Linked DNA regions of Saccharomyces cerevisiae S288C. Changing the gene in region 4 together with the main gene of any one other region gives a genetic interaction. Each region holds a gene or a part of one and is shown on either strand. Other genes may lie near its edges. The genes, in order: SLX1, FRE7, DLD2 and MKS1.

What was found.
Region 1: mutations in MKS1 (region 4) and SLX1 together harm fitness more than expected from each alone (negative genetic interaction), as found in Saccharomyces cerevisiae (2 studies listed by BioGRID).
Region 2: mutations in MKS1 (region 4) and FRE7 together harm fitness more than expected from each alone (negative genetic interaction), as found in Saccharomyces cerevisiae (2 studies listed by BioGRID).
Region 3: mutations in MKS1 (region 4) and DLD2 together harm fitness more than expected from each alone (negative genetic interaction), as found in Saccharomyces cerevisiae (2 studies listed by BioGRID).

What each region holds. Positions count from the first base shown.
Region 1 is NC_001134.8:669,588-676,727, reverse strand, and holds SLX1 (endonuclease), read right to left. Parts: upstream 1,416-7,140; coding exon 501-1,415; downstream 1-500. Other genes in the region: glucan 1,3-alpha-glucosidase ROT2, read left to right, coding at 1-371; MCX1 (Mcx1p), read left to right, coding at 1,594-3,156; YBR225W (uncharacterized protein), read right to left, coding at 3,399-6,101; TDP1 (tyrosyl-DNA phosphodiesterase 1), read left to right, coding at 6,431-7,140. UniProt on the Saccharomyces cerevisiae protein: Catalytic subunit of the SLX1-SLX4 structure-specific endonuclease that resolves DNA secondary structures generated during DNA repair and recombination.
Region 2 is NC_001147.6:34,982-43,245, reverse strand, and holds FRE7 (putative ferric-chelate reductase), read right to left. Parts: upstream 2,499-8,264; coding exon 636-2,498; downstream 1-635. Other genes in the region: ZPS1 (Zps1p), read right to left, coding at 7,839-8,264. UniProt on the Saccharomyces cerevisiae protein: Cell surface metalloreductase. May be involved in copper homeostasis.
Region 3 is NC_001136.10:135,991-143,774, reverse strand, and holds DLD2 (D-lactate dehydrogenase), read right to left. Parts: upstream 4,254-7,784; coding exon 2,661-4,253; downstream 1-2,660. Other genes in the region: GID12 (Gid12p), read right to left, coding at 1-1,678; YDL177C (uncharacterized protein), read left to right, coding at 2,054-2,566; PCL9 (Pcl9p), read right to left, coding at 4,570-5,484; AIT1 (Ait1p), read right to left, coding at 6,236-7,784.
Region 4 is NC_001146.8:479,527-487,628, reverse strand, and holds MKS1 (Mks1p), read right to left. Parts: upstream 4,074-8,102; coding exon 2,319-4,073; downstream 1-2,318. Other genes in the region: MLF3 (Mlf3p), read left to right, coding at 1-863; snoRNA-binding rRNA-processing protein IMP4, read right to left, coding at 1,150-2,022; APJ1 (Apj1p), read right to left, coding at 4,652-6,238; NIS1 (Nis1p), read right to left, coding at 6,638-7,861. UniProt on the Saccharomyces cerevisiae protein: Negative regulator of Ras-cAMP pathway. Involved in transcriptional regulation of galactose-inducible genes.

The DNA.
Region 1 (7,140 bases), on a different chromosome or scaffold from region 4:
CCCCTGATACCGAGGGACGAGCCGTTGGAGATCTTTATGTTGATGATGGAGAAACTTTTGGCTACCAAAGAGGTGAGTACGTAGAAACTCAGTTCATTTTCGAAAACAATACCTTAAAAAATGTTCGAAGTCATATTCCCGAGAATTTGACAGGCATTCACCACAATACTTTGAGGAATACCAATATTGAAAAAATCATTATCGCAAAGAATAATTTACAACACAACATAACGTTGAAAGACAGTATTAAAGTCAAAAAAAATGGCGAAGAAAGTTCATTGCCGACTAGATCGTCATATGAGAATGATAATAAGATCACCATTCTTAACCTATCGCTTGACATAACTGAAGATTGGGAAGTTATTTTTTGAGGGAAAAAAACGAAGTGATATCTTTACATCTTTTTAGCTCTTTCTTACAAAGTAAACGTAAAAATATCCGTAAATATAACATATAACCATTATCTATAGAAAAAAAAGAACCGAAAATTGTGTCAGGCCCTACTTCCCGTGAGCTAACTTCATTCTTGTCGAAAACTTGACTAGGGTCGTCCAGTCGCAAAACATATCACATTTCGGACATTTCCCACCTCGAGGTATCAAATTTCTTCTCCCTACCATCAACTGTTCATCATCTAGAAAGTACCTGTGAAGACATTTCAAGTGGTTAACACACCCACAGTCTTTATTATTGCAAAGCGCTACAAACGGCTTCAGATTTTGCTCTTCAGACGTGTAGTCAATTTCTTTCTCACAAATTTCACATCGCACTACCCCTGTAGTTAGTTTCTTTTCGAAAGTTTCGAATATGTTTCTTTCATTTTCAATGACTTTAGTGTATACAGCTTCCACCACTTTTAAATTCTCATCACTATGATCCATGAGAACATCCACAGTTTTCTCCTTTGGTTCTTCAAGCGCATTTTCATTTATTTGTATATTAATCGGAAATCTGTCTCTTTCAATAAAAAATTTGTCCTGTTTCCAAACCTCCCAAGCCTTTATATTAAAAACCTCGACTATCAAGTTCATCCTTTGAAAAAATTCATGCTTTAAAAGTAACTTCATTAATGCAACTTTGTGATGTAAAGTTCTTCCACCTGCTTTATGCTTTACAACACGATCTTTTTCGGCAATATAATGCGTTTGGTACCCATGTTGCCATGCATGTTCAAACTGTAAAGCTGCTATCTTACTTGGGAAGCCCCGCACAATCATTATCATTTCCCAGGGCCTTGAACCGTCACGTTTGGTTCGATATGCCCCTCCAACAGCCAATTTCCCATTATGCTGCCTCAAACGTCGTACTGGGTTAGGAGTTGATCCAACGTAAAATGATTGCCTCTTGTTAATCGATTGTAGTAGATAACAACAATAAAAATCAGGAAACTGATGCTGCTGTATTTTCTGCGACATGGTACCTTTCTTATCTTTTTAATATTTTTTGAAAAAAGAGAACATTAATTTGACAATATTTTTTCGATGATAGAAGGGAATAAGTCATCAGTGGTATATATTAAAATTAAAAAGAAAAGCAAACGGCTCATCAAACAAAACCATAGAAGACAAGGCACTCTAATTACATTTCACACTCATGTTGAAATCTGCAAGCCAAAACTTTTTTAGAGCTTATTCTAGTAGAATTGGTCGATATGCTGCTACAGCATCAGGGAAACTGGCACAGTCTCGTTTATCGAATATACCCACTCCAAAAGCATTGAAGAAATTCCTCGATGAGTACATTGTTGGTCAAGAGATTGGTAAGAAGGTTTTAAGCGTGGCAGTTTATAATCACTATTTAAGAATCAATGACAAGCAAAAGAAAGGGGAATTACAAAGGCAGAGAGAATTGATGGAACGAGAGAAAATCGCGGATGATAGGGATGAACCAATTTTCAGTGGAAACAGCGAATCAAAGGCTGGTTGGAGGAATCTTCAAAGACAGTTTAATTTAGCAGGTAGAGAGGTTGACGAAGATTTAGAGTTAAGCAAAAGTAATGTCCTTGTCGTTGGTCCCTCAGGTTCTGGTAAGACTTTGTTGGCAACAACATTGGCGAAAATATTAAACGTTCCAATTGCAATTACAGATTGTACACAATTGACTCAAGCAGGTTACATAGGTGAAGATGTTGAAGTATGCATTGAAAGATTGCTCGTAAATGCTGAATTTGATGTTGCGAGAGCAGAAAAAGGTATTATTGTTCTTGATGAGATTGATAAACTAGCCAAGCCTGCCGCAAGCATTGGCACTAAAGACGTGTCCGGAGAAGGGGTTCAACAGTCATTATTGAAAATCATTGAGGGCCATAAAGTGGAAATTACCGTTAAAAGGCCTGTTAAGCATGATATTGACGGACAAAAAAATCAAACTACAACAAAGAAGGACGAAGTATTTGTTGTAGACACTTCAAATATTCTTTTCATGATTATGGGAGCTTTTGTTGGTTTAGATAAGCATATTGTTAAAAGGATAGAAGATATGAAGAAAATACAGAAGGCAGGAGAGTCTGTTGAATCATCGAATAGTAAAGAAGTTGAAAAAGAAAGAGCGAAGAAGTTCAGATTTAGCAATACGCTTGAGCAGGTTGAATTAGATAACGGAAAAAAAGTGTGTGCTTTAGACTTGACCACCCCCACAGATTTAGTTAGCTTTGGTCTAATTCCTGAATTAATTGGCAGAGTCCCAATTATAACTGCTCTGCAGCCTCTACAAAGAGACGATTTATTTCATATATTAAAAGAACCTAAAAATGCCTTATTGGATCAATATGAATATATTTTTAAGCAATTTGGGGTAAGATTGTGTGTTACACAAAAGGCGCTAAAGAAAGTTGCTCAATTTGCTCTCAAGGAAGGAACTGGCGCCAGAGGGTTGAGAGGGATAATGGAAAGACTTCTGCTAAACGTTAATTATGATTGCCCGGGTTCTAACATAGCATACGTTTTAATCGACGAAGCTACTGTCGACTCGTTACAGGAAACAGAGCACTCTTTGGCTTCCCAAGTGGACGTAAAATACTATTCTGGTGATGAAAAGGACAGTTTAATTCGTGACGTTTCTGAAGAAGATAAAAAATTAGGAGTTATGCTAGAAAAAGAGTTGGGTCATTCTGCTAACATTCATACCCCAACAATTCCCAAGAGAAGCTTAACATAAAAAAAAATGAATGGTATAGAATATATAAATATAGATGTAATAAATGTAGTAAATGAACAAATAATCTTCCTACAAAGTACTATGCCATGGGAAGTAAAAAAAATTAATAAATATTGGCTAAAGTGTTTCAAATTGGTTCTACGATACTGGGAGACTACTCCTTATCATAATGCTTTTTGTCCAGTAGTAAAAATTGAAGTAATTCTTGAACAATTTAAAAAAAAATTGGAACGGCGGCACAATTATTTGGTATATGGCAGCTTTGGCTTTTGCGCCACCACATACAAAGTTCTAAAGCAGCCAGCGTTGTCATCGATTTTTCCTATGTGTTCTTCCACATATCTTTTGAAAAGAGTGGTGGGGTCGGTATCCTTTGGAGGACAACTACTATCTGGTAGTTGCCTCCTTAACATGTAGTCCCACATATCTAAAGAATTAAATTCATTCAAAAAGCCCATATCTGTTTTGAAGTCACCAGTTTTCAAACTTAGGACCGAGGACTTGATGCCTGTAAACCCTACATCCTTGAATGTCCTCGTTAAGTGTTTTGTAGGATGGATATGTAAGCCTTTATTTATCGCATCAATAGCCATAGCATCAAATGTCTTGTCCCGTTCTTTTGTAGTCAAAAACTCTTCTGATGAATTATTTGCTTTTTCGGCATCGGCGTTGCCAAGAATTCCAGTATAGTATGTGTTTGAAATCCTTAAATCTGGAACAATTGCCAGCGCGTACCCGCCAGGAATTATTGATCTGTATATTTCCCTAAGTAGAGCTTTCCATTTATAATAACTTAAACTTGTCCAGACCCACGGGCATATTACAGCAGGTATAGTGTCTGATGCAAACGGCAGTCTTAATTTTAAATATTCTTTACCATAAATAGCTGCGCTTTTTGCCCTGTCAAGTCCTTCATTTGGAAAGGAGTTATCCGAATTAGAGGATATTGGTGATGACAAAGGTGGTTCATCTTCAGGCTGAAGTTGTGCATTAGAGGACCTCTTCACTTCCTTTGGCAAAATAAATTGGGTCGGTAAATCGATTTCTTTGTAGTTGTTCAAAGTCCGGCAAAAAAAATTCTCCAACCATTCATTTTGATGTGCTTGGTTGGCTGATTTGACATGGGGAGCTTTCTCTGTCCGAGGGGGACTAGAGATATGTGACTGTGGTTGAATTTTTGGAGAAGAAGAAGAAGATATGCTAGGTGAAACTGAAGGGCTTGTAGTATGTGAAGTTGATGCAAGTTGAGAATGCTTTCTCTTGAAAAAGTTGACGAAACCAGATTTTTTAGTAGCCTTGGTAGGGCTCTTCTTCCTTTTGACAGCATCTGCTCCCGAGGACGGCAATGATAAAGATCTACTTGAAGCGAATTGGTCGTTTAGAGGGTCTTCCTCAACTCCCTGATTGAAGTTGTTTCTAGAAATACGTTCTTTTGCATCATCTGTAAAGAACTTTCTATTCATGCAATCATACATATACTCTGAAGCATTGGAAGAATTCAATTCGATAACTTCTTGTTCGTCAGAAACTATTTTCGCTCTTGAACCCTTTCGTGGCAAATAATTTTGTAAGTTTGTTAAATACTCAGGAGCAATTTCACTAGCATTCTTATTCTGAGCGTCATTGTCACTGCTGTCAATCATCCAGGGAGATAAATCTAATGCGAAATCTGCGATGTTCAAGCTTGGTTCATCATACGCCAGCTGCCAACCGCCCAGGGTTTTATGCAGCGGTCTTATTAATAAGATGTCAATTTCGTCTAATGGATCCGATATTACTGGCCTTGGAGAGTTTGCTTCTATATCTAACTGCTGAATATATAATGTAGGGTCACTGATCTTGTTGCTGGTGGTGCTGATTGTTGGATTAGAATGTTGTCTTGTGGTTGGTTTTCTTTTTATTAGTTCCTCCACTACTTCAGATGAAAAGAAGAATGAATTTGATTGCAGTAAAAATTTTTGAGATTGAGCCAACCATAATTGAATCAAGGATTCAATTTCAGAATAATCTTTTAACGGGTCAAACGATGGAAAGCATTTAACCTCAGTCTCTATATTTATGATGTTTTCAATGTTAAATGGATAACATTCAAATGCATATTTCCTAGATTCCAAATATTTTGTTAGGAAATCAATGTACGACCGTAATCTTTTCTTGGCAAATATTAAAGAGTCTTCTGGCGAGGAGTCCATGTTAAAAGATAGAAACAAGTCCATTCTATTAAAGAGCTCATTATGATTCGGGTCGTACATTATTTGTTTGAATTCACCGTCTATGCAAATGTTGATTAAATTATGATTTCCTGAAACGGTTTTGATTAGAAGAGAAGAATCTGATGCCGGTAAAGTGTTCCAGTCCCATTTTTTTCTAGAATGGAGTTTCTTGACAACGTTCGAAGTTGCACCGTGTAGACCACCACCTCCCCGGCCATTGCCGACCATATTGGATACAATGAATCGCGGTGCAGAAGGGTCTGGTGAGTAATTAGCTTTCACTTCGGAAGTCGGAGTTCCGCTTCTATGACTATGTTTATTATTACTTGTATGATGATGATGTAGACCTATTTTGGAAAGCTGAGCGGACTTCAGTTTGGATACTGAGGATGAGGCAGCGGAGTCAGATGATCGTCTTGACGAGTTTGAGAACAAGTCATCCGCCAGTCTAAAGTTTGGCAAATGTAAGGGCGAATCAAAGGACGAGAGCTTATCTGAATGATGGCTTACTTGTGGTGAGTGTGATTCTACTGAACTACTTGATTGCGTGGTTCCATTTCTACTCTCTTTTTCTTGTTTCCCCTTTTCTTTGTCAGCATTTTTATGTTCAGTAATCATTGAACTTGTATGGTTATCATGTGCTTTTAAGTTGGAAATTTTGTTACTGGTTATACTGGTTAACCCCCTATCATTCTTACTATCAATGTTTTTTGCTTCCTTATTGGAGCCCATTGTATTTACTTGAGCAGTTTATAAAAAGTGGATAAATGAGGGGAAAAATAATAAAAAAGAAAATTGAACAATCCTTCAATATGTGTCCTTTAATAATTACTACTACTTTACACACTTCTCCAGTAGCTGCTGCTTGTTTCAGGTGATGTGAACAACGTGTTTCAGCGTTCTTGGTAAGTGTTGGTATGGATCCCTTCTGATGTATTTTCGGCGGCCGCACTAAACTGCGAAAATGGTAATTTAATAAAGGGCTTATAAAGAGGAAAATAATGCAGAGAAACGGTGAGCCCAGACAAGAATGATGATAATGTGTTTTCAACCGATCATTAATGTCACGAGAAACAAATTTCAATGGAACTAAGAGGAAGAGGTCGGATGTTGCCGAGAAAGTAGCACAACGGTGGAAGAGCGTCAGGTATAGTGCTGAAATGGAGAATATGGCTCCGGTCAACAGTAACAATGATAGCGACGACTGCGTCATAGTCAGTGAATCGAAAATCATTGATTTGACTAATCAGGAACAAGATTTGAGTGAGAGAATAGAAACAAACGATACGGCAAAAGGTGCCGTTTTTAAACTAATGAAATCGGACTTCTATGAAAGAGAGGATTTTATGGGAGAAGTAGAGGATATGATTACATTGAAAGATATCTTTGGCACTGAGACACTAAAAAGAAGCATACTCTTCAGTTTCCAATACGAACTTGATTTCTTGTTGAGACAATTCCACCAGAACGTAGAGAACATAACCATCGTCGGCCAAAAGGGTACTATTATGCCTATCGAAGCCCGTGCTATGGACGCGACACTGGCAGTAATATTAAAAAAGGTCAAACTTATTGAAATAACGATGCCCCCATTCGCTTCCCACCATACGAAGCTGATCATAAACTTTTACGATAATGGCGAATGCAAAATATTCTTGCCATCTAACAATTTTACGTCAATGGAGACTAACCTGCCTCAACAGGTGTGTTGGTGCAGTCCCCTTTTGAAAATAGGTAAAGAAGGGCTACCAGTACCGTTTAAGAGAAGCTT
Region 2 (8,264 bases), on a different chromosome or scaffold from region 4:
ATAATGATAATATTTATTGTACCTAAAATCGCAAATATGACATAGTTCACGCGGTAATTTTTTTTCGCGTTCTTGATTAGAAGTCAAAGTAATCGCTGGCATTTAAAAATGAAGAGGTTAATGATATGAAATAGGGTGTGAATATGGTGTATGTATTATACTGGATATGTTCTGTTATTGGTGAGAAACCCCAGAAGTGGCACACCGAGAGCATGGATATATTTGGAAGAAACAAGCTGCAGAACAAGTAATGTTGCAGGAAGTGCAAAAGAGGGCGAGAAAAGCTGATAATGTTTATATTGTCAACTTTCTCACTGAGGTTTTCATCCTTACAAAAACACTCTTCTAGCGGTTTTAATCACGTTACCGTTTATTTCGGCTGCTCATTCTTATCTGGTCCGAGGAAATGATTATCAAACAAGGATGGAAATTTTGTACTTTTGTTCGTTTGCCCGCCCTTTACCCTCAAGGCTGTAAGATGGTTAGCCAAGAAATGCGTTGTATTGTCTTCTAGATGAACAAAAGAATTAAAGTGCATAACTATTACATATTTACCCGCTAATAATCAAATATTTACATGGTTTTGCCGAAATGCTTGAATGATATTTCACATGGTGGATGCCATCTGTTTCCTACTAGTAGCCAAAACTCTCGCTGTGTAAATAGCACTCTTCGACATTTTTGTTAGAAAAAACCTTGGCCTGTAAACCTGCCACGGAATTTCCGACGGTATACCTTAGGCTGTCAGAACCTGAACAAATGAAGCAGTTCCTGAACCCAATTTGGTAATCATTAATGACCTGATTCAAATCAGGTTTGGAAGGAATAATGGTGATGAGACCTTTATATTCGTTATTGGATTTGTCGAAAGTTGAATTTGACTCAGTATCATCCTGGCCGAATTCGGTATCTTTTTCTCTTTTAGCTAAATCAGATTGGTCACTGGCGGTGTCTATTGTTTGAGGGAAAGTTTTAATAATACCAGGGACGGTACTGTCCGAGCAGACGTAAATTCTAACCACAATTTTCCCATCTAAAAATAACTGGCGCAAATTATTTGAGAGGGTACACATTTCATCTCTAATCCATGATATATCCTCCCTATGTCTTACCACCCAGTCCAATGTAATAACTTCTAAGTTTGTCTTATGGAGTATGGGGCCATATTTTTGCAGGAAAGGTAAGCATGTAGATATACCTGAACCAGAGCAAATCAAGTAGACATTGGTAAAACTTCTAATATCTCTCTCGATTCCACCATAAGGCCCATCAATAAGAATTTTCTTCATGTCGTCATTACTTTCGTATAGCCTTTTAGAAAACCCTTTCTGGGCTCTAATCAGCATTTTTATTCCTCCGGGATACTTTGCACTCGGAAAGATAGAAAATGGATGGTTGGAAATGATGCCCTTATCAATAGTTCTCACGAATATGTGTTGACCTGGGGAATAGGCCATTTCCACATCTTTGACGATCAATTCTACGCATCCTTCGCCGACTATGCTGACATTTGCAATGGTCGAGGCCATGAAACTTCTACCAGGTCTTAAATAACCCTTCACAGCTAGTCTGTAAAACAGTTGTGCAAACCAAACCACAATTGTAGCAACCAGATACATATGGGAATTCAATTCGGGATATACATGATAGAACAAACTAATGTAAAATCCAACAGCTAAAATCCAATGAAGTTGCAAAAAAATCTCATAAAAATGTCTTCTAGCAATAGGCAGCGAAGATAACCATAGCAGATTCAAAAATAAGATGGGTGGGACACCACTCCTCCACATGTCGGATGCCTTCCACCGTTGATGCATTCTTTCATATCCTCCCTCATGTCGTGCTTGACGTAGGAAGGGAATGACATGAACCCAGCTAAAGAATAAACAAAGAATGGATGCCCATTGGTGGTATATGTTGATTTTTTCATACGAAAGCCCAACCAACCAACCTATAACGTTGATCTTCCCGGAAAGTGAGAATACAAACGGAACCAAAGATATTGCCATTATGCCTGCACGAACAGACAAAGGCGGCGAACCAAATCCTGCACAAGGTCTGTAGAATGGATGAGGAACAAAGCAGTATAGAAGTGTGTATAAAGTGGTAGCCATTACTACTAAAAAAGTACCCACAGATGTCGGAATACCTAAATAAGAAAATATCAACGTGGGAAATTTCCTGTAGCAAATGTATCTGTTGAATGCGACAAGTTTCGTCATTATTCGAGCAAGGAATACAGAAGGGGTAGTCGGCGAGTTCTTCTTTTCTGGAAGAAATTCCTCACTGGAATCATAATACATAAATGCCAGCTTTTTTATCAAAGACAAAAAAATTATCACAGCGACAAAGTAAGTGACGAATTTTCCGTATTGTTTTTGGTACACCCATGGTGTCGCTGCCTGCGATTCTTTTTTTAACCTGGCGTATAGTTCGGAGTGGATGTCAGCAATACAATGGATACCATTGCTTAAAACCAAATCTCTTTCTTCAATCATTTTATTATTTATCGATGTATATAAATAAACTTTGAAATAAAAATTTGAAATATCCCTTTACTTGCAATAAAAAACTTTTAGTATTGGTAATAAAGGCATGGTTTATATGATCTTGAGAACAAACGAGTGCATAATGAAGAAGTACTTCAGAGATTTTAAGAAGTGAATTTGCGCAAATGCTCACGTATTAATGCGCAGTTATACATCCTGCTTAACTAAGAAATATGCGCGGTACATCCAGATGCGAGCACTATAATTTGACACTTTTCCAAATATAATAAGCTTGGCAAACGGGCATTTCGGCTGCGTTACTTGAAACGTATATCGACTTTTTCAATTTGCGCAGACGAGGATTTTCAACCGCATTTTCTGAAAATAGTGAGCACATAGTATGACAGAAGGAGGTTATTTCAAACATGTCTTGTTTAATGGCGGTCACTTATATGTGGAAAAAATATCCTCCTTGTTCATTGGCCATCCAAATACAGGCGTATGCTCTTGTAATAACATACTGTAGTTGCCTAATAAACTTGAGGGATCTTCTATTGGTCAGAGATGTTCAGTAAGTCGTGGCGTATAGATCCCCTTTGCAGTTTAAGATACTTTCGTATTATCTGTTATCTTCATTTTGTGTCTAAAACCATTAATAAATGACCAGGAAATGCGCTACTGTCACTATAGGTATTTCAGGATGTCATTGGCTGTATCCAGATAAATTCAGAGAATATCAATCACTCCCTATGTTGGCGTTCTTGTAAAGTAAGAGTCACAAAATAGGATGCTATCAAAATAAAAACTTCAAAAGATGATGCATGGATGTACAGACATAGTCAGAAACCATAATGTAGTTTTATCATAGTTCAATTGGTCAAACACTGCTGCGGCTGTCATTACGCTGGTGGCATGATGAAACTTTTGTTATGAACAACTCTCCAGGTCCTTGTTGTCTCTGTATTTGGCACTGAGAGCGCGTCCACTTGAGGTAAGACACTGGAGCAAAAGAGTATAGTATTCTATAGAACAAATAAATGGGTGATGGGCTGATGTTACTTATAGAAAACTCAATTTCGTTATTATATGGATAATTACCGTGGGAATATATGGGCAGTCTCAGGCATTTTTAGCCGGGGAGTATTCCTCTAGGCATCCCTCTGCTATCCTGTGATTGTGGAAAAGCGTTTTTCAAAGACATATATTGAAGTCTACATAGCATTAAGTGAGCAGCGTTAATCGTTTGCAATGTTCTCATATACATGTCATTATTATTTGTAGTGGCATCTTTGGTTGTAAATATCCCAGCGTTGTGCAGGAATATTCAAACGACATTTTCCTGAAGTTGTATAGACCAACTCAAAATAACTATAGCTGCTTTAATATATTTTAGCAGGTTAACTCAAACATCTGCAAAGTAGCATAAACTATCACGTTGAAGATAGCATAGATAAGAAGTTCATACTTTCGTCGTTACTGTTCAAGAGACAATTGATTAGTATTGCACCTAAATATGTGGTACGGTAAGACCTGGGGTGTTAGTGAATGCATAACCGTCAGTCCATCTGCAAATAGCAGTAAGGATTGGCTTTAAGAAATTCGTTGGTTCCTATTAACGTGGCGTAAAACAATGATATAGTATGGGGGAAGTTGATTGACACGACATGATTGCATTAGGCACGTACCCGATTCTTTGAAAATTATGTCCTTTAATAAGTCGGATCTATATATAAGATTATCAGATGACTATTTTCTGCGGCTGCAACTTTGAGTTCGGTAAAATTAATCACTTGATTACTAAATAGCATGTATATAACATGGTCGAAAATTTGACTCAGGGTCGGTGAAATAAAAGTCAATGAGAGCATTTAGAATAAATTAACATTATGGTAAAGCGGACTTTTCTCTCTGTTCTTTTTCTTAATCTTGCATATGCACTACAGGTCGGGCTTTAAATGAGGGTGCTCTAAAGCCTTGGTCGAAGGAGTGCATATTTCGGATTCTTTTTCATTTCATGGTCTCTGGAGAAAAATCCTCGACAATATATATTTTCTAAGGGGTGCTTAAAAAGGGGAACATAGAAGATATACAAGCAACTACATTAAAACCCTATTCTTAATTATGTATTCGTAGTAGTATACCATAACGGCTTATACTCTGTCATTCCTCCCATATACTAAAACGCTTATATGACAGAGACTCATCACGCTCCGCTTCCGGATGTGTATCCTTCTTCTAAGCAGCCAACCTCCTCTACCTATTCTAAGTGTAAAAAATTTGGTCTGCCATTAATTGGTTTATTGACGTTGCTCTTAGCTTATATCAGCAGCTTTACCAAACCCGTCCCAAATTCCACTTTTGACGTTCCTGCCTCTCCACAATGTAAAAAGCCTCAAGTATATCGTCCATCGTTTAACAAGTCTGTGAATTTGATTCTGAACGATAAGCAATTCAAAATAGACTCAATAAGAAAGTTGTCTGGTGCCATTCAAATTCCTACAGAAATTAGTGACACAAACCCGCTTCCAAACGATGACCCAGAGTACTATTCAGAATTCTTCAAACTTCACAAATATTTCTAAGAGACTTTTCCTCTTGTTCACTCTCATCTAAAGGTGGAAAAAGTCAACCAATTGGGTCTATTATATACATGGGAAGGTACAGATCCGAGTTTGAAACCAATATTATTTATGGCACATCAAGATGTGGTGCCAGTTAACAGGGAAATATGGGATTCTTGGCAGTATCCACCATTGTCGGGTCACTATGATCAAGAAACGGACTATGTTTGGGGTCGCGGCTCCAATGATTGTAAGAACTTAATGCTCGCTGAGTTAGAGGGTATAGAACAACTGCTTGCCGATGGTTATCAGACTGAAAGGACCGTTATATTATCTCTGGGCTTTGATGAGGAGTCAAGCGGTTTTATGGGCGCTAAAGTCTTGGCACCATTTCTGTTGGAAAGGTATGGCCCGGATAGCATGTTTTCCATTATTGATGAAGGTGCTGGACTCCTAAGACTGGATAAAAACCTTTACATTGCAGCTGCTGTAAATGCTGAGAAGGGTTACGTTGACGTAAGGATTAGTATCCATGGTCATGGTGGTCATTCATCCGTACAACCTGACCATACTACCATTGGTGTTGCATCAGAATTGATATATATGATGGAAAATCACCCATTCGATTATAATTTCTCACTTGATAACCCCATTTATGATGTATTACAATGTGCTGCCGAGCATTCAGGTTTTCTGCCACCACATGTCAGGGAGGCAATCTTAAAAGCACCTGTGGATGAAGGGAAAAGGAAGGTTTTGACGGAATTTGCTGCATCGCACCCTGACATTCGTGACCTAATAAGAACAACTAGAGCAGTCGATGTCATTAATGGCGGTGTCAAGGCTAATGCATTGCCAGGATTGACCAGCTTTATTGTTAACCATAGAGTGGATATTCATTCATCTGTGAACGAAACTGTGTAAAATGATTTGTATTGGGCCAGAGTTATTGCTGAAAAGCACGGGTATGGTTTGACATTCCATGACGAGATTATCATCCCGGAAACAAAACTTGGCCACATTTCTTTAGCAAGTGAAAAAATGTTAGAACCAGCACCAGTATCGCCAACTTCAGGACATGTCTGGGAGATTTTTGCAGGTACTGTTCAAAACTTGTTTCAAAACGAAATTTTGGCTGAGCAGAAAGATGCAGATGTCTACGTTACGGGTGGCTTGTTTTCTGGTAATACCGATACCAAGTATTACTGGGGATTAAGCAAAAACATCTATAGATTTGTTGCAGGTATCTTTCCATTTGACCAACTAAGGACAATACATTCTGTTAATGAACATATTTCAGCATCTTCACACGTTTCAGCAGTAGCATTTGTCTATGAATATATTGTGAATGTCAACGAGTATGGCCATGATTAATGGGCGAATTTTTTTATATAATGGTAGACCAGTGTATATGTTGAACGCGTCTTGGCCAAACGGTCTATTGATATTAAAACTCCTATAACGTTTCAGTCAAAGTCTAGTATTTTTGAAATTAGAACTTTACTCAACGGCCAACAATTGCAAAGAATATTAATAATTTAACATACCGAAGAAGGGAAATGTAGGTAAAATGGGATACTTATTATGGAAAAACTTGTTCTTTTCTTGTCATATCTATATTGAAGATTATGCTGTAGTATTACGCGTCTGGAATTACGGTTTAATAGATATAGTATATCAGTTTGTTCGTACCGAAATGTGTGAGAGTTCCTGCCCTCTTTTTATTTTAAAATGGTTACTCTGTGCCAATGATGCCCGTTCATATTAATTTGAGACCATTGCTAATAGAATATTATCTTTATTTCATAATAGTGTTTGGCGACACTAACATGGGTAATTATAATAATCTTTTCTATAAGTGACCAATTGAAATATTGTTCACTGACTGACAAATCTAAAATTTTTTGCCCTGTTCACCAATATTTTATGTGTCTTTCTTTCGCATATTAACAGAAAATCACTGAAGTATATTTTAGCGTAATCCTGTCTTTTTGCCCATGAAGGTCCTATTAGTTTTTTATGTTGAAGGTCTCTTTATTATTTATTCTATCTGAACATATGAGTATTCCTAATTTGCGCATTATACCCGAAATCTATTACCACAGATTCTGTTCAGCCGCACTGGCATTACAACTTTTTCTGGTGTTCTATCAGTTGCATTGGCCTATTAAAGGGTTATGTTATTCTCAAGTTTTTTAATAAAACCAAGACGATCATTGATTTCTTTACTATTTATTGCCATGAAATTCAAAAGAGGAAATGTAGGTGCGTAGGCGAAAAACTTGGTAGAAGAAAACGTTCGGTAAGAATAAATTATCATTAATTTAATTGATAAAAGACATATTTATGTTTCATTTTGTAGTTAATCCTTTTTTTGTTCTTTTCAGGAACACAGTTCCTTCATTATATATGATGAATTCTATAATTTTGCGCGGATTTTGAAAAGTTCGATGCGCAATATAGGCCTCTAAATATAAATATAATAATAACACAATTATGATAAACTTGTCATTAAATTGTTTCAGACTATTGTAAAATTGAGAAGAAGAATGCTATTGTTTGATTCATTACTCGACACGTATACAATGCACTGAGATACTTATATTGTGCTCAATTTTTTGCAGTTTACGAAAAATAATGAGCAGTACATTCTCGTCAAAGTTTGCAATCATATAAAAAATACCATCTAATTCAATGAAAAAGAATAGCTCCAATTTATTTTAAAAACATAAACGAACTAATATTTACGGTATAGAAAACATATTCTGTGGAAGTAATGATGTGGTTATTACAAGTTACCTAGACAGCCACCAGGTATAACAGAAGCACTGTAAACGTCAGCGAGATAGTAAAGATAGTTGTCGGTGTTTCTAACTGCGTAAGTAGCATTGTTCTGGGTGTAGTCCACAACTTCTTCAAGAGTTTCCGCGTACTCGCCAACATATCCATCCATACTCATGGTAGGGACGTGCAAGTAACGATGTAACATATCAATACCTGCATAATGTTTTGGACCGACATCGACAATAGTACCTTCGAAACAAATTGTTGATAGTGGCTTTTTGGAAGTGTAGAAGTAATCACAAATAACAGTTTCAGCTGGAGCAGATTGACGGTGATGACCAGCGTAATAGTTTGGATTAGCTGCACACAAGCCATCAATATCATCACATCTCATGAGCATGGCACCCTTGGAAGCCTCCATCAATTGCTC
Region 3 (7,784 bases), on a different chromosome or scaffold from region 4:
ATTTCTTGAATGAACATAAATTTCCCAATGCCTGCTTGAATTGAGCTGTCTCATCATCTATCACTTGGCCATCCACCTTCATTTGACTTTCTGCCCACTCTTCTTCATTAGTTCCATTTTCAGAGCCATTTTTGTTCGATAATGAATCGATTTTAATTATTGGTTCATCATAGTACCGAGGTCGGAATGCACTCAACGTGACGAAATGATCGATGCACACAATGTCCATCTTTTTGTAATTATCTGTTAGAAAAGAAGTCATTGTTTCATCACTTTCATCTGTAGTGTTATCATCTTCATTCACCCCATCATTTCCATTTCTATGAGAAATCTTTTCAACAATTTCAAAATCTACCATAAATGTATTCCTTCTTAATCCTCGGATAAAAGAATCTAATTCCCACTTCGTTGAACAGGGTACATCCATTCTTTCTCTAAAAGCGTCTCTAGTTAAGGCTTGAAAAGATTCTCTCCTTCTTCGACTCAGCGGTCTCGGTTCGCTGCTAGCAGTACTGAATGAAGAATTTCGGCGACTACTTCCCAGCATATCTTGAGTGTGGAATAACTCATATATGTCATCTTTAGCGTGACCTTGACGCTGTTTCCAGACGATTCCTGAATCCAGCATTCCTGTTCCAGAATATTTTACAATATCATCCCAAATGGTTGAATTTATAATATCCGTATCGAATGTAAACTTGTTACTAATCCAGCTGAACAAAGAACCAAATCCATTTTGTTGCGCTACGTTGTCCCACGAAAGTATCTCACCGCATGTATCTCCCTGTATACTGTTCTTTAGGCTGATAAAGGTGCTTAAAAATGTAACATAAGTCAATGGTAAAATTATTTTCCTTATAAATAGTGGTGATCGTGGCGATACTGTCATGAAACAAAACCGGTCTAATGGATTTATATGGAATGTGGAAATACCTCGTTCTATATGTAAATACATCGAAGGCCTATATATGGGCAGGCCTTGATACATATTGCAAAACGAAGATACCACGGGTGACGATCTTAAATGGGATGGTTCTATAGGCAAAAGGAAGTAGCAGATATGCTTAGAGCATGACCTTCCAGTGTACCGCGTACTACCTTCAAATAATTTTTCTTCTTCTGAAGAATGTGTTGTATTATTATCGTGATGTACTTTGAAAAAGCAATCTGGAAACATGGGGTTGTACATGTTCTTATACTGAATGTAATCAGTGGGAAGGTTCATTACAAAGACATATATTCGACCGGAGCACATACAACAATATAATAAACCTTGACTATATTCAAGACCAGCGATCATATAGTCACTAAAAAAATTGGATTCGAAATCTTCCGGAGTACATCTAAGGATATAAGAGGGCGCTAATCGCAGGCCATTTTTTATCTTGTATTGATAGTTGCTTATGATTTCAATGAATCCGTTGGATTTAGCCAGCACCATGTAATCACATGAGTCCAAAATATGCGTTGCGTCTGGAGATATTGACGTGTCTCTACCATTAGGCCTTAAATAACAAAACGCTTGTATATTTGCATTCACATCTACTTTTGTACAACCTCTTTCTGATGGGACCAGTGCTAATCGATCGTTTTTAAATTCAAATAACCTATAACCAGACGGTTTACCCTTAGTATTGCAGGGAGTAGAAACAGCAAATTGAATCCTGCCAGTAGCCATCGATAACAAAATGTTCAGATTATGTGGAAAGACGCTTTCTGCGTGTATTTAACAACTCAAAGTAAAACCTATCTTAACCTGGTTTTGTTCTATTAGATGCCATTCAACTATGGGGAAGGTATATTTGGATGTTTGTTAGCAATTTTCAGGAAGGCAAGTACTTAATACCGATCAGCTTACTATTGTTTTTGACCTTAGAGCTCTTTTCAACAAAGCTTCGCATTGTGAAAAGCAGACCCAAAACGGCAACTGAGAAAATACGGCACTGTGGAAATAAGTCATGCATCAATCATCAGCTGTAAAAAACCTTTAGAAAAGACATTATACAGATTCTTAGATAGGTATTGATGTTTGGTATTACTATTTTTTGGAGAAATGAGTAAGAATGTTGGTAAGCTAGTGAAAATATGGAATGAATCAGAAGTTTTAGTTGATAGAAAATCGAAATTTCAAGCAAGATGTTGCCCATTACAAAATCAAAAGGATATACCCTCCATACTCCAAGAACTAACGCAAAACAACAAAAGCGTCTCCAAGGCATCCCACATGCACATGTATGCCTGGAGAACGGCCGAGGTATCAAATAATTTGCACTTACAACAAGAGCAGAAAAAGAAGGGCAATAAAGCAAATAAGAGTAATAATAGTCATGTTAACAAGTCAAGGAACATAACGGTGCAGCCAAAGAACATTGAGCAAGGATGTGCTGACTGTGGCGAAGCTGGTGCTGGACAGCGTTTATTGACCTTACTTGAAAGAGCAAACATATTCAACGTCTTGGTAATAGTGACCAGATGGTATGGTGGCACGCCTTTGGGCTCATCAAGATTCAGACACATTTCAACATGTGCAGTGGAAACCTTAAAGAAGGGTGGATTTCTTCCTTAAATATCACCCTTACCATATAATATACACAATTGTAGAATATAATATTGATAAATATATACATATGTAGATAACTATAAAACTTGGCATTTTATTTTCAAATGTATTTGTAAGGGTTTAAAATTCCATTAGGATCATAATGAACCTTCAAATCCTTCATCATCTTGACCTCTTCCGGGCTCTTAGAATAGCCAATGTAATTTTTCTTTTGGAAACCTAGCCCATGTTCGGCACTAACGGAACCATGTTTTGAGGAAACAAACTCGTAGACAAATGGTTCCAAAGTCTTTTCAATGTTCTTGTTGTACTCTCTAACTGCAACATTTAAGTGTAGATTACCATCACCCACGTGACCGTATCCAATGGCGCCCACCACTGGTTTGGGCGAATCACCCACTAATTCAGCTTCAGAAAGTCTTGCATTAGTGGCTTCAACCAAAGAATATAGGTCCTTTAGTGGTAAAGAAACATCGTATTTGTAAACACCACCATTAGCTTGACTTGCCTCTGGAATCATTTCTCTCCACTTCCACAAGTTTTGGAGTTCGGTTTCATCTTGTGCCACTACACCATCCGTTACTATGCCCTCTTCCATGACGTTTTCTAAAAATGTTTCAAGTTTGGAATCATCGTGATCTTTGTTTGACCCTGACGTTTCGATAAGAATATAAAATGGATGCTCATCCTCCAAAGGGAAGGCAGCATCCTTCAATTGGCTCTTGGCCAATACTTGAGATTTAGCATCCATAAATTCAAAAGCGGATAAAATCTCAGATAATTCTTGCCTGGCTCTGACGAAGACTTTTTGAACGTCTTCAAAACTTTCAACAGACAAGTAAGATACATTAAACGCTTTTGGCTTAGGAACAGTCAAGATTGAAACACCAGTGATGATACCGATAGTACCTTCTGAGCCAATGAACAGCTGTTTCAGATCATAACCGGTGTTGTCTTTTCTCATGGAATGCATGCTATTAACAATTTGACCATTGGGCATTACCACCTCTAAGCCTAAAACGCTTCCATGTAGTGAGCCATAACGCAATAACCTTAGTCCTCCAGCGTTGGTTGCAACCACGCCACCAACATGGCAGGAACCTTTAGCTCCCAGATCCAACGGAAACATATAATTTTGTTCCATTACGTAATTGTTAGCATTTTCCAAGATTACACCAGCATCACACTTCAAGATACCTGATACAGGGTCAAAATCTCTTATTTTGTTTAAATTTGCTAAAGATAGAATTAATTCATCAAAAATGGGCACAGAACCACCTACCAACCCCGTGTTACCGCCTTGTGGGACAACGGCAATTTTTTCATCATTACAATAATTTAAGATTAAAGAAACTTTTTCCACTGACTTAGGTCTCAATACTAACTTGGACTGTCCTTTGTACTTTCTCATCCAATCTTCATTATAAAATGAAAGATCCTCTGATTCGCTGGCTCTTAATATTTCTTGTTCCGATAAAATAGATTTAAAATAATTTAGATCATCGGACGTTAATTTTTTGAATCTAGGGTCTCGATGCACGTCTGGATAGTTTTCGCTAGTCAGTCTGGTTTGTATCTTGGTCGAATAATAGTTAACTCTTCTATAGTATCCTAAAAGAGCTGATGATTTCATATATCTGCCAGCAAATTTGAAATTGCTGCCAGTACTTCTCACCAAAATGTTTCTTAGCATCTTGTTATATGCCACTTGTAGTGCTGGATTAATGTCTGTAAAATAAAGAGAAGAAGTTGTCAATGCATTTATTACCACTTTTTCAGAGTCAGATAGATTTTGAATTATATAACCTGTCAAAATGAAAAAAACTCGGCCGATATTCCTCGAGAAACAAGACGAATGCCAAGAGTATTCATTATTAGATATTTGTTTATGTAGTATGGTGTTTTTTTAGTAGCCTAGAAACGATGGTTATTCATATTGTACAAAGTTAAGACAACTAAAGAACGGAAAAGAATATTTATAGAGCTTGTAAAAGGCGAGTAACTTAGAATTATTGCTTGAAAAACGATGACCAGCCCCTCCTTGTAAAATTTAACCGTTGGTGAATTGTGGGCTTATGCGACATTACTGGTGAACTTCCCATTGTTACATCAATATGGTTTACTGAGTGTATGTTTTCCTCTGCCCTGAAATTATTACAGATATCGTTATTATTCCTTAACGGCACATGATTTTTTTTGTTGAAGTTGTCAGATTCCACCAACGGTAGGGACGGTTGGTATTTTGCCAGTAGAGAAGACCTTGAGTCTGTTGTCGAAACTGTTGCCATGGATGTCAGTGAAGGAACCGATATAGCAGAAGAAGTTCTAGAATGCGAAACCGGTCTTCTATGATTTATATATTCTTTCAGTTGGCCGGGACTTGGTGCATTGAACAACAGCATTTCTTGTCTCCTTTGTAAAAATAGTTGTTCCTTGATAGGCCCGAGGAAGTAAGAAAGAGAATCAATCAAATCCGGTGTAGTTATCCTCACATCCCAATTTAAATATTCTAATAGTTCTCGTTCGATGGTATTCACCTCACGTATTCTGAGTAAACCTTCTGTGTACGTGGTCCAGTGTTTGTTCCAGGGAGAAGAATCGTTCAGAGTTTTGGCAGCTAATATCAAGCATCCGAGAAATATCCGATGTCTTGTGGTGTTAATACCGTACACATTTTTTGGTATTACGCTTTTCAGTTTGTTTAAATAAACTGATGTGGCCATTAAAGTTGGTGTTTGAACATTTGACTGAATTACCACGTTTTTAATGAAGATAGATAAGTCTGGTGGGCGACATCCTTGGATTGGATTATTATTTTCCCTGATTTTAATTATGGAAGCAGTAGAAGTGGCTAAGAACTGAATCATTTCTTGCGAAACAGGTTTTTTGTTGAATTGCAAAAGAGCATCGTAGTCAGAAATCATCTCTTTGTGCGTATTTCTTCAGAATTAATAATGCTGTTACCGAAACAAGTTTTCTTGTCCTTTCTTTGCGTATATCCACTTAAATATATGTTATTAGAGATCTATGAATGTCGATGCACTCTTCTACTGACCGCAAGCTGCCCAAATGCTTAAATACAGAAGCAAAGAGACACATATTTACCACGTTGCATGAATGTCCAAACTCACTGCACCGTTAAACAGAATTATAATAAGCAAGGCTTGACTACTTGTCCCTTGTAAGATTATCTACTTGAGCTGGTTTTTTTTTAGTGCAGCAATAAAAAAAAAAATTAGTGACGCTGGTTTCCGCGCAGCGCTAATTTAAGAATTTTCAATATTGCCAACAAATTTTATCTTGGCAGTTATGAATGGAGGCCAAATTGTAGCATACAGTGTGAGCTCCATATTGCCAACAAATTTTATCTTGGCAGTTATGAATGGAGGCCAAATTGTAGCATACAGTGTGAGCTCCATATTGAATGATGCATGATCTATTTTCTTTTGGACAAATTTCTACCTTGCATAACCTTTGATTGATGAACCACTGATGTAGTTAAACTTTTAAAGTAGGGTTAAAATGTCCCTTTAATATATTTTTATAATTACTTACAGATTGTTGTTCTTATGTAAATTTTATTATTAAGCTCCACCTCCCCTAAAGTAAAATGGATAACATAAAGATTTTTCAAGATATGAACACCCTAATATGTGCACGGTCGTTACTTATATGCTATATATAAACTGTTGAAAGTATTCCCGTTACAAAAACAAGAAGACTCCAAGAAACCATTACTCCAAGTACAAAAGAATCATTTCTTGCCAAAGCCCTCCAATTTTTGACTAGCTTCTTGCAGAATCTTAGTAAAGCGGAGTCGTTGGTCATATCATCATCATCCCCATTTAAACTACCATAATATAACGTCGTATTACCTAACAACTGGCCTGAATTCATCCCGAAGTGACCCGGGCTGCTATTTATTACATCAGGACTATCCATCGAAATGTAATTAGCACTCAGTGGATGTTGGTACTCTTGATTTGTAGCTACTCTCTTACTGATAGTATTTTCGTCGTCGTCCTCAAACTCCCCCTGTGAATTATTAAACCAATCGTCTAGCTCTCTTCTTAAATATATCGAAGTGTTGATGAGGAAGTTTAGAGATATGAAAGGAATTATTACGCATAAGATGAAATTTGAAATGGTTCTTGAGCCGAAGTAGTTCACCACGGGAGTAAATAATCCTTCATGGCCGCGAACATAGACGAAATACATCGACAGAATCAATGATTCCCCAATTGTCAACATGATATTACTACCAACTACCAATATCATTAACAATAAACCGGTGACCAACTGGTATGCCGTGCTAAATGCAATAAATCTCTTTATCGGTGTGAAGCTTTTAGTAGTATTTTGTGTATTTTCATTAGGAACTGCCCATGTATAACCAAAAGATTTCTTCAAAATGGGCTGTTCTTCGTCTATGGGGAAACTCAAATCACCCGTATCTAGAGTTGTCAACTTTAATGAATTGTCGATGGGGTTCATCATGATAATTGTATCGTCCTGCGAATTATCTGGTACATGCAGCTGCTTCTTATTTTCATGAGGTTGCTGTCGTATGCTGCCATAAGTTGATGACGATGAACGTAGAGGTTTGATTGGATGGTACTCAGACGAGTATACGTTATTCGATATGGAAGATGAGTCATTTCTTACTTCAATACATTTGGACAACGTAATATCACTTCTGTCTACGACGTTGGGGCGATATTCTGTACTACAACCGCAGTCATCGTTATGGCTCATATCATTATTGTTACAGTAAGTGTTGGCGCTTTCCTGGTGTGTGAAGCCACTATTAATGTTTGGATCGGCGATTTCTTGGTAGTTAAACAAATTCCCTATTATGCATATGGTGAATTCACCCAGGGCCCATGATATACCAAAGATATAGGCTTGTCTTGGAATGATGTGCCAAGAACATTCCTTATGCTTGATCGTACCGCCTTCGTGATCTTGCACCTGAGGGTACGCTAAACCAATCAGTATCAAAAGCATAAAGACGTCGTTGATAGGAAAATCCACTATCAGGTTCAATATTAAAAACCTTTGATTTATATTGAATAGAAAGGTCTTCAGGAAATAATAAAGAAATGGTGAAAAAAGCCCCAAAAGAAAGGTCCTGAAATAGTCCTGCGAATTTGGTTTGAACATCAATGGATCATCATACTGGTGTAGCAGTAATTCGGACGACGCATAGAATAGTGAAAACAGT
Region 4 (8,102 bases):
TGGCTAGAACGAATAGTGCCACTCTTCCCTCATCAGAATCTTCGCCAGCATCGCCAGATCTTAAACTTTCGAGATCTCATTCGCATTCTGCGGCTACACGTCCCACCTTGAATAACATCAATAACACCGGGATGACCACCACAACTTCAAATGGCGAACCAAACTCCAGAATACTAAGATTCTACTCTTACGTCGATATGTTGAATGATGAAAAACTTGCACAGGCCAATAATACGCCTACATCTAGACCACCTATGAAATCCCAAGCGTACTCATGCCCTTTCATCCTCAAGAGGTCCCCACCACAAGCCTATTCTTCATCGTCAGCAACAACGACATTTTCCAACCCCTTCATCAAAACTACAGAATTACCAGCTACTTCGCCTTATGTATCTCCGCAGCAATCTGCGAGACAATATTCAAATAATGCTAATAACAATGCAAAATCCCCAAAAAACCGGTCATCTTCGATACTATTTCAAAGACAATCCATTTTATCAAACGTTGACCCTGTTGCAAACATGCACAAGAATCCCAAGTTCCAAATAGAATCAAGTGACAGCGAAGAAGAAGATTTAACCATGGACATGCTAGATCCTTCCTTTCCGTTAAGTTCGTCTTTGCGTTCAAGTGCAAACTTGGCAAGTAATCCCGAATTAGCAACCCAGACGCCTTTATCGACATCTTCGTCATATACAGCAATAGGCAAGCCCATGCCTTTATCAACAGATCCTTCTTACGTGTCTTCTTCTAATACGTTATCCTCCGAACATGAGTTAAGAGTTGAAAAAGTCAGTGAAGTGCTTAAGAAAAAAGTTTCAAATGGTGGATTTTCAACTGAATTTAATAGTTGTGATACATAAATTTCCTTTCTGCACCTCTTCCCTTCGTTCGTTTTGTTCTTTTAAATTTATGTCTTCATATGGTTATTTTTTTTATGTAGATACTCTCACAGATACATTGATAAACAATTAAGAAAAAAAAAAAACGCAAAAATAAAAATAAATCATGTGTTATGCTATCTCTTCTTTTCTCTTATATTCCCTCTAAGACGCTTTTTTTTTTTTTTTTTTTTTAAGAATACCATATTAGACTTACATAAGGCCTCATCGGCCTTCTATTTTAACCTTTACAAATCTATAAAAAAATTCACAAATAGTCTTTTTTATTGGCAGTCCTTATGAATCTTCTCAACTGCCACTCAACATCAGCGTCCTTATTTTCTAAAGTTCCCAACCTCAGTTCAAACAACCTCATCTCAAATCTAGGACCAACTTCGGCAATCTCTACTCCCTCTCTTGTTCTCACATATACATGCTGTCTAACGCTAATGAAATCACCCCTATTCGCAAAAGTGATTACTCTTTCGGAATCTTTTTTGGGCCCCGCATTGAACAAGTGCTTTAAAATACAGACTACTCTTTTCCCTAAAGCGGTAGTAAAGTTATCAAATATTAGATGTGGATTCACTTCGCTTTGGTTACCAGCATTTATAATATCATGTCTCATAACAACATTGTGTAAACTAAACTGTGCAGTGGGTCCATGTGGAAAATGTGATATGGTCAAAGAAGTTGGAACACCTCTATGTTCATGTAATACCACCAAATCTGTAGTACCGGATTTTTTACAAGCATCCACTAGATTTGGCATCACATAATTACCTCTGTTCAGCCTGACAGCATTTGGAAATAGCAGTTTAATTTCTTTGGCAAATTGCGAGAGACGAGTGCTTGGGTCACGAGATGTTGTGACGATGATTCTTGGATCCATTATACCACTTGTGGCAGCATATTCATCATCAACCTGTAGATCATCTGCTTCTTCGCTCTCCTTTAAACTTTGGTCATATCTGAAATCCTTTTGTAAACTCTCATCTTCTGCTAGTTCCTTTGGCAATGGCTTCCCCTGAGCTAGCGCTTGTTTAATTATTTGACGTTTTTGTTGCAGTTGAGAATCTTGTAATTCTTGCGCTTTTCTGTATAGATATTCTCTCCTTTCACGGGCTTGTCTTCTTAGCATTTCGATTTAACTGTTTTATTATTTATGGGAACACTTGAATCAATGATAAAACCGAGTATATATGCCCTTTCAAGTCCAACCTCATGCAATCAATATATACGCTACTTCATGCATTTTCATCTCATCGCATTTCCGGGATAAAATTTTTTATATTTTTCAGTACACAATATCCGTTACCCGAAGTGAATAGTGTGTCATTAGAAGGAACTCTTTCACTGCGTAGATAGTAAAATATATGACATTATCTTTTTTTGAAAGAACTTTAAATACTGTATCTGATTTATTTAACTTAGTAATCATATTCGCCCTCCATTACTCGTCTTACGCCCCAGTGCTTCCGTTCTCTGATTAGAGGTGTCATCATTACCATTTCCATTACTGTTTGCAATACTCGTATTGTCAAGCCGTGATATTGTACGTACCATCTTTTCTTCCTCAGAGATCTCCATTCTGGTCTTCAAAAACCCAGTATTCCTGTTCTTGGATGGGATATCCATCGACTGCCGCCTCGAAAAACGATGTCGCGTATTACTACCAGTGGCAATCGCCATTCGTTGTTGGTGAATGTTATTTGGCAAAAACATGTGAGTAGATAAGGCGGTGGGCAGTATAGTTTGAGCAGTTAGCGGAGCATTAGATTCATATAAATGATTGGACTCATTATCAGTTTTGAAGTCCTTTTGTATATCCATCGATAACCGCTCATTGTTGGATGGTTGCGGGGGAGATAGCGATGCTAGAGCTGTCACGTTGCTTGTTTTCAAAGAAGGTTTTTGTTGTTTTATACCATTAGCGCTCGGTGGATTTTGCTGCGGTTGAGGACCGATATTACTATGAGAGGACTGAGGAGTCGGCGAAACGTGTTTAGAAGCGTATTCACTATGTGCAGTATTGTGGTTATTACTGTTGCTATTTGCCTCACTAAGGAATAGTCCACTGAGTAAACTTTTTCGTACGGGATCATGGGATGTGTTTGAGTTGATTGTGTTCGCTGATGAAACAGATGATTTCGTTGAGTCAAGATTCTGTTGATTTTTGGCAAATAAAAGCTTGTCCCATTGTCTTCTATAGTACTGATCTGCTTCTTCCTCATTATAATCATCGTACTCTTCATCATCTTCATCAGCGTAGAATTCTGAATCATTCGAAACGCTGTCCCAATCGGAATCTTCATCTTCACTGCTGAAAAATATCTTGTTTTTTCCTTTTCTAGAGGATGTTTTCGAAAGTGACAGTTGACCATTTTGGTCATTCTTGTAAGACCTTGGCCTTCCGAATAAAGATTCCTTCTGAGGAAAAGAGGATTTTCTACTTCCCATATTTTCAAGAGTAGGACTGGTACTCTTGGAAGTCTCATTATCAATGCAGTTCATGTTCATGTCTCCTATATGCTGGAAAGGTGATCTTGAGCGTCTTGATTGTAAAGGTTTCTTGGTTATAACAGTGCTTGTATCAAAACCAGTGATAATAGTTTGTGGTTCTTCCTTATTAGCAACATGGTTCACATTTTTCATTTTTTGATATTTGTCTGCAAAATTTGAAAACAACCCTGACGTAGTAGATTTGGAGAATTGTCTGTTTGGAGCAACGTCATTTTTCACATCATTGTTTGTAGAATTAGGATTATCCAAGGATCTATCGTGAGCACCCTGTGCGATAGCTGGTGATGTCATTGGCCGAGTTAAAACGTTCTGTTTTGCCGTTGTGGGAGGCAAATTGGCCTTTTGTAATGGTGGCTGCTTTACTGCTGCCTGCTTTGGCTTTATTGGCTGTTTGTTGTTTGGATTTAACACATAATATATGTTCTTCACGCCGTCTCTTTTTTTAGATCGATTAATATTATGCTCCTTTAGAACAGCTTTATTCAGAATTCTCCAACTTATATTGTGCAGCCTTTCTCCCTGCTCGACACATTTGGATGCTTTTATTAACGTAAGATATAGTTCGACATCATCAAATAAATTCAATCGCTCTGGGGTAAATAAATTAGGTGTGACTTTTAAAAACTTGTTAGTACCTATATTCGGTACATCAAATGCCTCCCGCGACATCAGTTCTTTTTTTTTATTAGGATTAGAGAATAATTAGGAAGTGTTGCTTAAGTAAATGAGATGGAACTAAGGGGTAGTTCTCTTTTTTCTTGAGGGTTGTGCTCTGTTCGTTTTCACGCAATAGTACAGTATATGTTTCTCCTTTTGTTCAGATCATTCAAATAAAAAGCAAAAAGGAAAGAAAATGAACACTTGGGTTAAAGATCCCTACTGCTGAAACCAAAACGATATTTTGATGAACTTAGAAATATGATCAGTGGTGAACTTCCCTTGCTTCTCTGTAACAACGGCATGCACATTCTAATCGGTTTTTTTTTTTGCTTTTCTGTTAAGTAACCTCCCACGATCTCTTGGCAGGCACTAAGAAAAAGATGAATAACAATGTATTACACGCTAAAAAAACTGCTAAAGGACTAGGGCTGCAATGATATTACCACCCAAACCGCGGTAAACCATCCACAGGAAGAATAGCGTATCTTTCCGCATTGCTTAAAAAAAGGAATGTCCTTATAGATAGAGTACTGATACAAAAAATAAAAATAGAAAATGTATAACATTACTGCATGACTATATAACCTTCAATATCCATTAATATCATGGTCATAAAAACCGCTTACCGGTGAAGAATATTTATTTCGTTTCGTTTCATTATTATTATTAATATTACTTTCGTCGAATCGACGGTTGTTCCTTTTCCGAGAATCTCTTTCATTAATCAAATCACCAAGGTCGTCGTCTTCAATAACTTCATTGTTTAAATTAGGGGCCTCAAAGCTACTTAACACATGCTCTTCCACACTGTCATATGACTTCTCCAAATCGCAATAGCAGTCTGAATCTGCGGTTTCCATGGTGGAACGTTCTGCTTTAATGTATTTATCATTAGCCAGAATATTTTGTATTTTCTTAGCATTTTCAGGTTCCAGTCTCTCTGGATACGTCACATCGAATTTGACATATAGATGACCGAAACCGCTCCGAACACCGTTGATAAACTTGGGCATCCCCATGTCCTCAACAGTCTTGAAACAACCAGGCTTCAGTATCTCGCCAGGTATAATATCAAGTTTGATCAACTTACCGCTAGGGTGCCCTTCAATATAAACTACGCCTCCACATAAACTGGTCATGAAGTCGATTTTGCACTTCTTACATATCAAATTGGAGTAGTTGATAACCTGGAAATTCGGATCTTTTAAACGTAAAATGGTGATAACGACGTCACCAGGTATTACCTTTTCGTGACCGCCTCCCTTAGTACTAATAACTTCGTCACCTTCGCCCGTAAGTACTATAAGTTGGTTATGACACGATCCCGGTTGAACGGTGACTTGTAGAATCTTCCTCTCCTTAATGAAGCCAAGACCTTGGCACTGTTGGCAAATATCTTTATTTTTGACAAAAACCCCGGCACCCCCGCAATCTGCACAAGTTTGAGACCAACTTTGTACTAGAGGTCCCATACGCCTAGTTTGGGTTTGAATACCTTGCCCTTTGCATGTTTTACAAGTGCATTTCTTTAGACCACCGTGCCCATCACAAACACTGCAAATCCTTGTCCTATTCAAACCCAACTTTGCAGTCTTACCCATGTAGAGTTCCTTCAATGTGCACTTTAGATTATGTTTGATATCAGGGCCTCTATCCAAATGATGGTCCTCATCGTTGGAGTTGTATTTTGCTGACGAGGAGTACAGATTGTTCACGCCACTGCCATTAACAAAGGAGAAGCTCGGCGTAGAGCTATTATTGAAGCTAAAATTAAAACTGCTTTTGGAGCCATTAGAAGAGGGGGTAGCAGAACTATTAAAAAACTGCGCGAAAAGATCACCTGGAGATAGATCCGGGAATGACATTGCTTCCGTATCGAAATTTGAGGATGAACTGAACGGCCCGGCTTGTTGGCGTTGCGCCTGCGCCTGCTGCTCTTGAATCAGGACTTCATCTGTGGTACCGTACTGGTCATACAAAGCTCTTAAACGATTGTCTTTAAGTATTTCGTATGCCTGGCATATCTCTTGAAACTTTCGCTTGGATTCTTCTGTATGATTGTTTTTATCAGGATGATATTTTAATGCAGCGTTCCTGTAAGCTTTCTTAATCTCAGATGTGGATGCAGCGGCAGTAACGTTCAAAGAGTCATATAAAGACGTGTTTTGTTGCATTCTCCGTTATCTTGTGTCCACTGGTAGCAAAAGAAAAATGTGTTTTACTTTATCGTAGGTACAGTACGGCTCGTGTTGTTTAGAGAAATAATCACTGTATCGTGAGGTTGGTTTATTACCGATATAAACTGTTTGATGAATGTTGAATACTATTATAATCTATTCCTATCAGTATATAAAAGCGTTCAAACGATTTCACATACTTGTGGGAACGAAGAACGCGTCATTACCTTTTTAGTCTACAGATTCGATGCTCCAGTCATTTTTTTCCTTTATTTTCCGTAATGTTCTAGAAGAAATCGAGCGGGGGAAAAAGATACATAGAAGGATAATGTGATTAAATAAAGTTTGATGTCTAAGGCTATGCAATGGCTATGCAATCCAGGGGGGGTTACCTACTTAAAAGGGGTCGCTACTAAGTATACTATCGTCTTGACTGTCGGGTATAATTATAGGATTGCTTTTGGTCTCACCTGCCATCTGGAAGAGACTTGAAGGAGTAGATAAAAGGGACATGTCTAAGTCGCTGGCGTTAGAAGAGCAGACAGAGCTTTCATTCGATGCTGAACCCGGAGAGCAAAGCAAAGTCAGGCGCAGTTGCGTCCTCTGTGTTATAACCAGCATTAAGTATTCTCTCCACAGTTCCAACAGCAGTTGCTCCTTTCTTGCATGCGATTTGGTGTTCAATTTTCCTCTTCTTTTTGGGTGGTACAACACACTAGGGGAAGTATTGGACCGCCCCACATTCTTGTTATAAACAGATCTTGTGGTTGGGGTCGTTGAATTCTGTTTAATTGTTTTCGTCGCCGTCGCAGGCATAGTCGTCGGGAGACTACCTGGTTGTGATTTGGGTAGTTTCCTACTTATGGAGCGGTTCCTTAGATACGGTGGACGACTACTGGTTGCATACATCTGGCTTCTTAAAAATGGGATAGGAGTTACCGCAGGGTCCCTGCTAGTGAGATTTCTGATAGCGTGTAAGTTTACCGGTTGCGAAGCCAGGACATTTGCAATATCCATTTGTTCCAGTTCTATATAGTTCAAAACGGATGTCAGCTCCTTCTTGCTCCTGAATCTTGACCGTACCTTTGCTTGCCTGTCTTCCCTGCGTATGGAGTGTTGCCTCTTCAAAAACCCTTTGTGAAAAATGAAATTATGATTCTTGCTGAACTTGGAGAGTTCATTTTTGCTGGTAAAGTCTGTTCTTCGTTGTGAAGTGTGTCGAATTGGCTTTGCGTTTATGGTAGGAGAGCGAGACCTCATCTTATAATTCGACCATTGCGTAAACTGTTCCATCACTTCAGTGCTTTCAACCTGGTCCGCTTTGCTTATGTTACGGTTCCTCAAGTGCGAAGCATCGTGGTACTCCATATATGGTTTGAAGCTGTCGTGTGTTATATGAGAGTCATCCGATATTTGCACTATAGGAATCTTGGTATCTGAATTTGAATTTGTGTTCGAATTTGTGTTCGAATTTGTGTTCGAGTTCGAGTTCGAGTTCGATGTAGAATCCACAAGCGCATGTATATAACCTGAAGTGGTAAACCCACCGGTACCCAGGGGAGGTGGGAACAAAGTCGGGGGATAAGACTGAGTCCCAATGCTAGTCTCGTATGTCTCCATTGTCTGTATGGTTGTATTTCAAGACGTATCTGCAAGAAAACTGATGTTTGCGAGTTAGGAACAGGGAAAAATACATGAATTAAGAAATACGAACGATCTTAACTATTTTCAACAGTACCTGAAACATGGATGTAAAAACGTAGAAGATACCCGAATAAAGTGGGGCGCACACCGGACTTGAAACCACTCCTCCTTTACCAAGCACTAATTTAAGCTAATCTAATTTAACGCAGTACATTTT